Linked DNA regions of Canis lupus familiaris. The protein of the gene in region 3 purifies or fractionates together with the protein of the main gene of each other region. This does not show direct contact. Links are inferred from orthologs where the notes say so. Each region holds a gene or a part of one and is shown on either strand. Other genes may lie near its edges.

Region 1 (3,648 bases), on a different chromosome or scaffold from region 3:
GAAAATTAGTAGAAAGAAAGATATACAAAAGCCTTCAAGTTGCCACCTCCTTGTAGATGACATTGAATTTCTGCAATCCCACAGTCTTACGGAACAGCAGGTGCCAGAGGTGGGCTGAGTAAGGAACAAGTGGACCTACTTGGTAAACGGTGTTGGCCCAAGGGTTCTGCATGCTCTTCAGAGGAAATGCTCTTCCTTGTGTCTATGCCTTAATCATTTACCTTTCTTGGAGTTGTGTACCTTTCTAATTCTAGTGCCTCAGGGATCAGGGTTTTATGTGTGGATTTAATAGGTGCCGTTGGGGGTGTGGGCTGGGACAGGACAGGAATTAGAGAGAATGCTTTTGGTGGTTTTGTGGTGGTGGTTGTGTTGTCTGGTGTAATCATAAAAACTAAGAAGCATTCATGCTTTAAATCTTACGGATCGCACAAAAAAATCGAATGAGAAAAGCCATGTATTTTGATTGCTGAGCTATAAATATATTTATTAAAATGTAGTCTTATGTCTTCACCATGTTTTATTTTCTGTCATTAACAATTTTTATTTAGAACACATGCTGATTCTGCAAAATCCACCTCTTCTGAAACAGACTGCAATGATAACGTCCCTTCTCATAAAAATCCTGCTTCCTCCCAGAGCAAACATGGAGTGAATGGCTTTTTTCAGCAGCAAATGATGTATGACTCTCCACCGTCTCGTGCTGCCTCTGTTTCTGTAGACTCCAGCCTTTATAACCTGCCCAGGAGCTACTCCCACGATGTTTTACCAAAGGTGTCTCCATCCAGTACCGAGGCAGATGGAGAACTCTATGTTTTTAATACCCCATCTGGGACATCAAGTGTAGAGACTCAAATGAGGCATGTATCTATTAGTTATGACATTCCTCCAACACCTGGTAATACTTACCAGATTCCACGAACATTTCCAGAAGGAACTTTGGGACAGACGTCAAAGCTAGACACTATTCCAGATCTTCCTCCTCCTCGGCCACCGAAACCACATCCAGCTCATGACCGATCTCCTGTGGAAACGTGCAGTATCACACGCACGGCCTCAGATACTGACAGTAGTTACTGTATCCCTACAGCAGGGATGCCACCATCACGTAGTAATACCATTTCCACTGTGGATTTGAACAAATTGCGAAAAGGTCAGCTCTAAGTGGCTTCTACTGTGTTAGAGGTTAATGATAGAAAATCTGTGCATCTGAATATTTGTTCTTTTTAGCATAGTATGATGTTAAATGATAGTCCTTTTCTTCCTTCAGCTCTGGAGTTACCCACTCATGTAGCGAAGATATCAGAGTCTCAGTAGATCCTGGGAAGGGTGTTTGTGCATGCAGCGTGCGCCTGAGTGCATGTTCTGCTGGAGGGAGAAAGAGTTGGAGTTTTTCATCCCTGAAGAAGTATGGCCTTAGAGATCCTTTCCTGCCTCAGGAAGTGTGCACCCCTCTTTTCTGCTTTCCATGTATCCTGGGTGGGTAGACTCTCTGCTGGGACAGAGACACAGGAAATGGAGCAGCCACAAAGTTCTCCAAGTCATCCCTTTCCTGTATTTGTGTGCCATTATGGCCGCTTCTGTGTCACATCTGCTGGGCTCCATTTCCTTCCTTCCTCAACAAGCAATTTGTATGTAGTGTCTAACAAGTATACTCAGTTCCAGTCGTGCCATTCTGCTTTTTTTTGGTTTTATTTAAAGTTCTGAATCTTCTCTCCCCTTACCCTAGCCACTTCACTTAGTCATATGCCATCTCCTAGAGCTTGCCAAAAGTTACCGACCTCAGAGGAGAGAAGTTCAGTCTGGGTTACACTCTAAGGTTCTTAAAGTCCTAGAAATAGAAAGCCAGAGTTTAAGATGCACATGCCCTAAAAACTATGTGCCAACGTTTCTATATTTTGTGGTAGAGTTTCCCACCAGTCCTAAAGAAAATAAAGATTTGATGCATCATGAAGAGTACTAATGTGGAGATTTGACTCAGCCATCCAGCACCAATTTCTAATTCCCATCTCAAAGTGGCTCTGTAATCTCATTACGGGTTAGTGAAATATGAGTTAGACCCAAGGTGGTGCAGAAGACGAGAAAAGAGTAGTATTTAAATAACCCATCTCATCCCAGACTTAGACATTCATAATCAAATGCTGGTACTGGTTAGCATTTAGTGAGTGTCTGCGTTTGCCGGTGGTTTAATGCACCCTTTCAAGATATTATTCTGTTAGTGTCTTTTTAAAAATCTGTGTGTGTGCACGCATACCCGCATGCATGTGTGTGAAGAGAGAGAAGAGACCATTCTGAAAACCCTGAGAACTGGTAAAAATGGGAGGAAATGCTGATCGTTTGTTTTCTGTTTTAGATGGTAGTTCTCAAGACTGCTATGATATCCCACGAACATTTCCAAGTGACAGGTCTAGTTCACTTGAAGGCTTCCATAACCACTTTGTAAGTATACTTGACCTTGGTGTCATCAAATGCATTTCATTGTCAGGATCTCCACACTCAGTGCCCTGAGACTAAATGAGGTCATTAGATAAAAGTCCCCTCAGATCCGTATGAATAGGTGTGACTTAGAATCGTGTTCTCACGTTGGATAATAGTTTGTGTTTATTAAGAGAAATGTCTGTGTGTTTTAGAAAATCAAAAATATATTGACAGTGGGAAGTGTATCAAATGAAGAACTGGATGAAAATTACGTCCCAATGAATCCCAATTCTCCTCCACGACAACATTCCAGCAGTTTTACGGAACCAATTCAGGAAGCAAATTATGTGCCAATGACTCCAGGAACATTTGATTTTTCTTCATTCGGAATGCAAGTTCCTCCTCCTGCTCACATGGGCTTCCGGTCCAGCCCAAAGACCCCTCCCCGAAGGCCAGTTCCTGTTGCAGACTGTGAACCACCTCCCGTGGATAGGAACCTCAAGCCTGACAGGAAAGGTAGGGAGGGCACGGTGCAATGCAAGGGGCAGGGGGCAGGGGTGTTGCCAGCTGCACTTACCGGTCGTTAAATCCAAAATGGAATCGGGACTGGAAGTTCTGAAGTACATCATAGTACCTTAGTCATTAACTTGTTTTTAGTGCAGTATTGTTGTTTGTAGATTAATAATTGTTGTATGTTGATGCCCAGGTGAGATTTCTGTCTCCTGTCTCTAGAGCAGAGGTTACAAACTAAAATACTCACAAGGTTGGCAAACAACAGGAGAAAATTAGGAGAAACTCAAATGCACTTGCCCGCTCCAAATGGAGTAACTGAGTGCTCCTGGGCGGTAGTCCTTTGTTGACTTGTGAGTCTGCTGTGGGCCCACACAGGCAAATCATCTGATGTATCAGGAGAAGCCAGAAGTTTCATCTCTTGTGCGTATCATCTTTTGATTCTTGAGTTTGATCAGTTTGTTTAATTTAAAAACAAAAAAATAAAAAAAAAGTACTGCAGACCAAAGCAAACACTTGTACAGACTAGACGTGGTCTTTGGCTGCTATTTTGTAACCTCTTCTCCAGAGTACAGGATATCCAATCAGACTAGAGATCAGTAGTAGGTTTGACGTCATTCTCTAAGAACAATGAGGTTGCTTGTACAATCTTTCCAGTCTGTCCATATAACAACTTCTTAAATATTATTCTGCCTTTGCTGTGGTATAGATGCTTCTAGTCTG
Region 2 (3,648 bases), on a different chromosome or scaffold from region 3:
CCTACTACCTTTCCCTCACTCAGTCCCCCTGGGTGGGGCTTCTTCCCTGTGTTATCCATCCAGAAGCTAGAGCCAAACAAGTCTCAACCTCACCAGGCTCTTGCTCAAAAACCTGAAACAGGGCCTAACTCCCTACATTCTAGGTCCCTGCCCCATACCCTAGGACCCCAAACACCCTCAGTCTACCCACACAAACACCACCTCTACAGAGCCCAGTCCAAGCCCAGCTATGAATGGCTCTCCAAAACCTGAGCGCCACAATTTCAGTAAGGTATCTCTCCACCACCCAGGCACAATGGAAGTACATTCCCTCCGTTGACCTGATCAGCCCCCACACCACCACTAGTTTCCCTTCAGAGTCCTCGGGCAGCTGCTTGGCTGTGAATGCCAGACAGGAATCAGCTGGGACTCACCACCGGCAGCTGTGCACAGTCAGAGTTGACATCATACTCAATATAGGCCACCTCGATGCCATCCTCGGCACGGCCCTCCCTAGTGTAGCAGGCATCTCGTGTGCGGTTAGCAAGGCGATCCACCTCGTCCAGAGGGAAGGCACAGAGGGCAGAGGCTCCAGATGCTCCGGCAGCTGCCAACGGAGGCCGGCCCACAGTGGGGGGAGCGGCTGAGGAGAAGGCTGCAAAGAGCACCTCGCCCTGGGCCACCTCCCGGGATGTGGCCACAGCCGCAGCCTGAAGCAGCCCATAGCGGCCACCCTGGCAGGCCAGAGGCAACTCCACATAGGAGTAGTAGTGCTGGTCCTGGAGGCACACTCGGGACACGTAGGCACGAAATGCTCTAGACTGAGCCTGCAGGTCTCGCCTCAGGAACAGGAAGTAGGCACTGGCCCCACGTGCAAAGGCGCTCACGAAGTGGTGGCTATACTCAGAGAGGCGGCCCACAGCCAACTTGGCCGTCTCCTCATAGGAGAAGGCAATTTGGGGGTCCAGCGGCCACAAGGTCCGGGTTGTGATGGGAGGGATGCCACCCCCCACACCCCTGCTGGTATAGCCTCGCCCCACGAAGAGGAGGGGCTCCCCAGCCAAGCCCTGGGCCACCAGTCCCACTGTGCTGACCGCAGGATCATTGGCGGCCACATATTGGGTGTCCCCAGGGCGCTCGGGCCGCAGCAATAGCTGTTCAAGCTGCCCCAGGCGCCGCAGCTCGCAGACCCCCTGGTGCACACTCCCGCACACCACCAGGGCCCCTGGGCTCACCAGGAGCAGCTGGTTTAGGTTGTTGGTAGCCTGGGCCTGGGGGCACTCATCTGGCATCACAGGTGGCAGGCAGTCCCTGCTATCTAGCACAGGGCCCGTGGACACGGTAGCCTCCAGCTGCAGCCCAGGGCTCAGCTGGAACAGGAAGTTGGTGGCTCCTAGGTAGAGAGTGCCTGAGGTGGGATCCCGTGTCAAATGCTGCAGATGCGTGCCATTGGGAGTAAAAACAGCCAGTGGAGGGGGCTGGAGGGTGAGAACCCACCCAGCCCAGAACACCTGGAGAAGAGCTGGGCCGAGGGCAGGCATGGTCACCTGGCAAGGAGAGAGATGGAGTGCTGAAGGGCCACTGTTGGGATCACATCACCAAGATGATTCTCCTAACCCCAGGGAGTGAGCAGAGGAGGCCCAGGCTTAGATGGCACTGTGGTCCAGGATGACCCCAGGACCACATACTAGCAAGGGGTCAGATCTTTTCCTGGTAACTTCAACACTGTTCGTTTTCTGCAAGCACTATGGTCTCAGGAGACCTCCATCCCATCCCACCACCCCTTTGCCCTGCCCTGGCCTGTGTCACCACAGGGTCCGAGGGTAAGCGGCCAGTGGGGCAGAGATGTGGGAAACAACCCAACCCCAGGGGACTGGGGCCTGGAATAGGCAAGAGAGCAAGTGAGGGGAAGGAGAGGCCCAGAGCCCTGAGAGGCTCAGAGCACTGAGAGGACCCCTCTGAAAAGGCCAGGAATCCAGAAGGAAACCACAGAACCAATGACAAGATGAGGGAGGTTGAGGCTGCCAGGGCTGGGGTCTGAGAAACTAGACCCCACCTTGGAGAGCCATAAGAAGGAGTCACACTTCTCCCAAGTGCCTAGGTGTGAGGTCAGGCTCACCTGGCAGGGCTGACTGGATCAGGAGATAACAGCATGACCTGTGTGGGAGTCACCTAGCCAGGGAGATAGCAGAACATGAAGCTGGGGGCTGGGCTGCAGGCATGTGGGAGCCCAGGCTCCCCTTCCCGCTGCCCAGCCTGCCAGTGGAACTGGGCCCAGCCTGGCCCTCAGCCACCAAACACATTCCACAGGGGACGCCTCCTCAGAGCCCACACAGGGAGGAGGAGGGCAGTGGAACCAGGCACCCTCAGGGCCTGGGAAAGGGCAGCTAGGAAGGAGCCCCATAGCTGGCAGAGCCCAGCCCCACCCCACCCCAGGATGGCCCTGTCCCTCTGCAGCTCCTTCTCCCTTCCTGGAACTCTTTCTCACCCTCTGCCCAAACTCCATCAGGGCACCCAGGTACCACACAGGCCAGGGACCGTCCTAGCCCAAACTGACACTGGCACATAGGGAAACACAAGCTTGCATACACAAAGAAACATACATGCCACTGGCACTGCATGCACACGCCCACACACAAGCACACAGGCACTTGCACACATGCAGATACATGCAGATGCAACACGTCCACATAGCACAGACACACAGAGAAACACAGGCCATATACCACACACACTTAAGACACCTGCACAAAGACACAACCTCCTTACACAAACACACATATTGCACAAACAGGCATTCCACACAAGCAGATGTCACACCCACCCACATTCAGACACCCACACACACAGATTCATGCGCACTTCCCTGGTTCGAGCCCTAAGGCCTACAGAGCCTTGGAAGCCAGCATATCTCTTGCTATTTCTTCTCCTGCAGGTCAGAGCAGAGCCAGGGCCCAGGGTTGGGGGAGGCTTGTCCCAGAAGTCACCATGTCCAGCTTTGCTGCCCACCCCCGGGGTCTCCTCAGACCCTGGGTCCCTGCTCTCCTCACAGATCCCTCCCTGTAAGCCCCTGCTAAGGCCTGCTGGGAGCTGAAAACCATGGCAACACTATCTTCCCCAGCCCCGGGTGGTCCCCAGTCAGGAACACTAGGTTGATGAAATGCTGCTCCCAGGCCGGGAGATAACTTCTACTCGGCCTCTGCCCAGCCCACGTTGCCCAGCCCCTCCCGCCCCCAGCTGCCAGTCTGCAAGAGGGAGAGCTTCCCTCAGCCCAGGGTCAGCTCCTCCCAGCCAAGACCCCGCCAAGGTACTGCTGAGACTGTCCCGCAATGAGAAGGCTGGGCGTAAGTCTCAGAGAAGGGTCCAGCAGCCTGGTGGGAGCAGGGGAGCAGTGGCCACAGCCCAGCTGGGCACTGCTCCCAAAATAGCTTGGGGGTTTCCATTTTTAGTGTGTGGAGAACAGGGCAGCTCTATGGGAGCAGGAACAAGGCCGCCTCTGTTTGCTACCCGAGGGGGTGGGGGAAAGGGGATAGTAGGGAGAGTCGTGAACCCAGGACTATGGCAAGGCCAGGGTTCCAGAAGCCCCCCACCTTGTTTCCAAGGGATGGGGGGAAAGTTTCTTACTCTGGGAAGACAGAGTCTGCCTGAGAATGGGAGAGGCTTTCTCCT
Region 3 (4,118 bases):
ATAGGGTATTATAATGTGTATTATTTGCATATGTGTATTGTCTCTCAACCACACTGTAGGTTCACTGAAAGATAAATACCAAATCCCATTTCCAAAGTGCAAGCACAGAGCCATACACATACTAGTTATTAGTGAAATCTGCTATGATTTTGTAGACCTAGGGTTAGTCTTTGGCATGGTTATAATGCCAAACAAGTTTTTAAAGATTCCTATCAGAATTATACACTAAAAATGGAGGGAAAAAAGTAATTAGCTATTTTGTTTCTATTCCTTCTAAGGCCTCCTTTCTAAGGTACCACCCTGCCTACAACTTTTATGAGTAGAACTAACAATGTTTGTTTATAGCCCTATACTTTAAGTTTTTTGAAACAGAAAAACAAATGCACTCAGGATAACTAGTTAGAAATATTGTCCATGGGCATACAATGGAATCTTAAAATAATGTGTTTGTTTTTTGTTTTTTGTTTTTTGTTTTACTAAATAGCTTTTGACTTGGTAATGAACAATATGTTGTTTTTCCCCAAGAAATAATTCTAGGACTTTAGTCCTGAACATTATATTTTATTTTACAAATTTTCAGCTTGCTGTTTTTATGTTTCCAGTGATCTTACATTAAGTTAAGCATTTGTCTATCCAAAACAATAGGTCAGCTATAGCCAAATTATAACCATACCTTTCCTCTGCACACAAATTCCTATAAACAGCATGTGATCATATTGCTTCTAGAATTTATGATTGTTTTCTTCCAAAAGGAAGCTAAATTTAGCCTAGTAATTCTACATGCTCCCAAGGAAACAATGCCTGCTGTGATTTCTAGAATAAATGAATCTGAACCACAGTTCCTTTACTTGACTAACTAAGAAAGTTTAAATATCAACCTAGTCATTAACCACAGATATTAAACCACATTAAACAACCAGCAAGAGGTTAAGAAAGAAATTTGCTGTTTCTGACTTCATTGCTAAATGAGTCCAACTTAGTTGGGTGTATTGTCTTTAATACAGAACATTGTTTGCATCTCATAATGGTTCTCTAAAATTACTCGTTCATGGCTTGAGTTCTAAAATTAAACTATGTGGAGTCATGTCCATCTGCACAATGCATCATTATGTGAAATCAGCTAGAGTTTTTTATTTTCACTTGATGTAAAAATTCCTGTTAGGAAGATTTGTTTCTAATAGTTTAACTGGTATGGTTCTTTCAGTTTCTTCTTTGTTTCTAATGACAACTAAACTGCTCTCTCTTTGAACATGTTTTGGCAGATATGCTTCTCACCATGAAGGCTCCTGCTGTGCTTGCACCTGGCATCCTTGTGCTTCTGTTTACCTTGGTGCAGAAGAGCTATGGGGAGTGCAAAGAGGCACTAGTAAAGTCTGAGATGAATGTGAACATGAAGTATCAGCTTCCCAACTTCACTGCCGAAACACCCATCCAGAATGTTGTTTTACACAAGCATCATATTTACCTTGGTGCAGTTAACTATATTTACGTTTTAAATGACAAAGACCTTCAGAAGGTTGCTGAGTACAAGACTGGGCCCGTGCTGGAACACCCAGATTGTTCCCCATGTCAGGACTGCAGCCACAAAGCCAATTTATCAGGTGGTGTTTGGGAAGATAACATCAACATGGCTCTGCTTGTTGACACATACTACGATGACCAACTCATTAGCTGTGGCAGTGTCCACAGAGGGACCTGCCAGCGACATATCCTTCCACCCAGCAATATTGCTGACATACAGTCGGAAGTGCATTGCATGTACTCCTCACAGGCAGACGAAGAGCCCAGCCAGTGCCCTGACTGTGTGGTGAGTGCTCTAGGAACCAAAGTCCTGATATCAGAAAAGGACCGGTTCATCAACTTCTTCGTAGGCAATACCATAAATTCCTCGGACCATCCAGATCATTCATTGCATTCGATATCGGTGAGAAGGCTAAAGGAAACGCAAGATGGGTTCAAGTTTTTGACAGACCAGTCTTACATTGATGTTCTACCGGAGTTCAGAGACTCCTACCCCATTAAATATGTCCACGCCTTTGAAAGCAACCACTTTATTTACTTTTTGACAGTCCAGCGAGAAACTCTAGATGCTCAGACTTTTCACACGAGAATAATCAGGTTCTGTTCTGTAGACTCTGGATTGCATTCCTACATGGAAATGCCTCTGGAGTGTATTCTCACGGAAAAGAGAAGAAAGAGATCCACAAGGGAGGAAGTGTTTAATATTCTCCAAGCTGCATATGTCAGTAAGCCTGGGGCCCATCTCGCTAAACAAATAGGTGCCAACCTGAATGATGACATTCTCTATGGAGTGTTCGCACAAAGCAAGCCAGATTCTGCTGAACCAATGAATCGCTCTGCCGTCTGTGCGTTCCCTATCAAATATGTCAATGAATTCTTCAACAAGATCGTCAACAAAAACAATGTGAGATGTCTTCAGCACTTTTATGGACCCAACCACGAACACTGCTTTAATAGGGTAAGTCACATTCATTTCCCACTTATAAGGTATAAGTCAGAATAAGTACCAGTCCAGAAAAGAATATCAAGGGCTTTTTGGTGCCTGGTAAATTATTTTTATCCATAATATTTGTACATTCTTTCCAAGAAAATTTAGATATTGTATCTTCATTTAAATGTAAAATCAGGGACGCCCAGGTGGCTCAGTGGTTGAGCGTCTGCCTTTGGCTCAGGGTGTGATCAAGGATCCTGGGATCGAGTCCTGTATCGGGCTCCCTGCAGGGAGCCTGTTTCTCCCTCTGCCTATGTCTCTGCCTCTCTCTCTTCGTCTCTCATGAATGAATAAATAAAATCTTTAAAAATAAAATAAGAAATAAATGTAAAATCATAACTTGAGAAAAAGTTAATGTGGTTCTATGAAAAGATATTTTACAGTTTAGGTTTACATGGTTGTCAACACTTAAGATTATTAAATTTGTTTCTCATTTAAGCTTTAATAGTTCTGGTCAGATTTACACAAAGTTTAACACAACAGCAATTCCTGTAAAACACAATTATTGAGATCTCAGTATAGTCTTTACAACATATAGATGAGAAGCCCAAGTTAATTTGTGAGTTTTAAAGGCTTTTTGCCTTATGAGGCCCCATTTGCTCACTGATATACAAATGAATGGTTTACATTCTGGGCATTATGTAAAGAAAATTAAACTAAAAACAAACAACAAAAATCTCTTCTAAAATCTTGGTAAATCAAATATTTTTAAATGAGCTAATACACTTCTCTGAAGAACTTAGAAAAGTAGAGGAAACTTTTGTTCCCAAATCCTTCCTTTGGAACTTGCGTGGACTTTCTACGTGAATGGACCTGTGTGTATCACCTGCTAGCTAGATACTTTTTACCTGGTTGGTATTTGATATTTATAAATACTGATATTTTCATCAATACTTGTTTATACCTACATGAAATGGTATTTTCACAGATGTTAGAAACATTCTTTGTTGGTTTAACTTACATATAGTTAAAGCTACCAGCCATAGCCAGAGGATTTATCCTACTAGCACCAGATCACTTGGTGCTAGAGGAAGAACACCAAATCCAGAGTTCATTGTGGCCTTGGGCTCCCTTGGTTTGGACCCACATTCAAGCATATGAACCTGGGTATGCCTCCTAACATAACGACCGCTCGTGATCATAATTAGATGAACAAATAGTATAGCTTTTCTAAAGACAGTTTGACTTCAGAAATCCACATCTCACGACTCTATCAGTTTTCAGTCTCAGTAATAAAGCTTGTAATTGTAAGCAGAAGGATATTAAACATATCTTTGATGAAAGAGAATATCTAATGTGCTGAAGGGTATCAAGGACATATGAATTCAAAAACATTTGGTTCACTTTTTGCTGAAATGTCTGGGATACTTCCCCAAATGGAAACTCCAAATAGCTCTTTTTTTGAAGATTTTATTTATTTATTTATTTACTTATTTATTTGAGAGAGAGCATGTGTGCACGTGCACTCAGGGGCAGGGAGAGGGGCGGAGGGAGAGGGAAAGAGAATCTGCAGCCAATTCCACTCCGAGTGCAGAGCCCGATGCAAGGCTTTATTTCACAACCCTGAGATAATGACCTGAGCCTAACTCAAGAATTAAGCCACCCA

The links.
Region 1: the proteins of MET (region 3) and GAB1 purify together in Homo sapiens (affinity purification with western blotting; 3 studies listed by BioGRID and IntAct, with this or other methods). This does not show direct contact. The link is inferred for Canis lupus familiaris from reciprocal best matches to the Homo sapiens genes MET and GAB1.
Region 2: the proteins of MET (region 3) and PLXNB1 purify together in Homo sapiens (co-immunoprecipitation; 3 studies listed by IntAct). This does not show direct contact. The link is inferred for Canis lupus familiaris from reciprocal best matches to the Homo sapiens genes MET and PLXNB1.

What each region holds. Positions count from the first base shown.
Region 1 is NC_049240.1:741,677-745,324, reverse strand, and holds part of GAB1 (GRB2-associated-binding protein 1), read left to right. Parts: intron 1-548; coding exon 549-1,150; intron 1,151-2,350; coding exon 2,351-2,436; intron 2,437-2,627; coding exon 2,628-2,931; intron 2,932-3,648. UniProt on the Homo sapiens protein: Adapter protein that plays a role in intracellular signaling cascades triggered by activated receptor-type kinases. Plays a role in FGFR1 signaling. Probably involved in signaling by the epidermal growth factor receptor (EGFR) and the insulin receptor (INSR).
Region 2 is NC_049241.1:41,070,011-41,073,658, reverse strand, and holds part of PLXNB1 (plexin-B1), read right to left. Parts: exon of another isoform or gene 2,152-3,648; 5' UTR 2,099-2,151; intron 1,527-2,098; 5' UTR 1,521-1,526; coding exon 414-1,520; intron 1-413. UniProt on the Homo sapiens protein: Receptor for SEMA4D. Plays a role in GABAergic synapse development. Mediates SEMA4A- and SEMA4D-dependent inhibitory synapse development. Plays a role in RHOA activation and subsequent changes of the actin cytoskeleton.
Region 3 is NC_049235.1:55,754,513-55,758,630, forward strand, and holds the start of MET (hepatocyte growth factor receptor precursor), read left to right. Parts: upstream 1-1,257; 5' UTR 1,258-1,276; coding exon 1,277-2,479; intron 2,480-4,118. UniProt on the Homo sapiens protein: Receptor tyrosine kinase that transduces signals from the extracellular matrix into the cytoplasm by binding to hepatocyte growth factor/HGF ligand. Regulates many physiological processes including proliferation, scattering, morphogenesis and survival.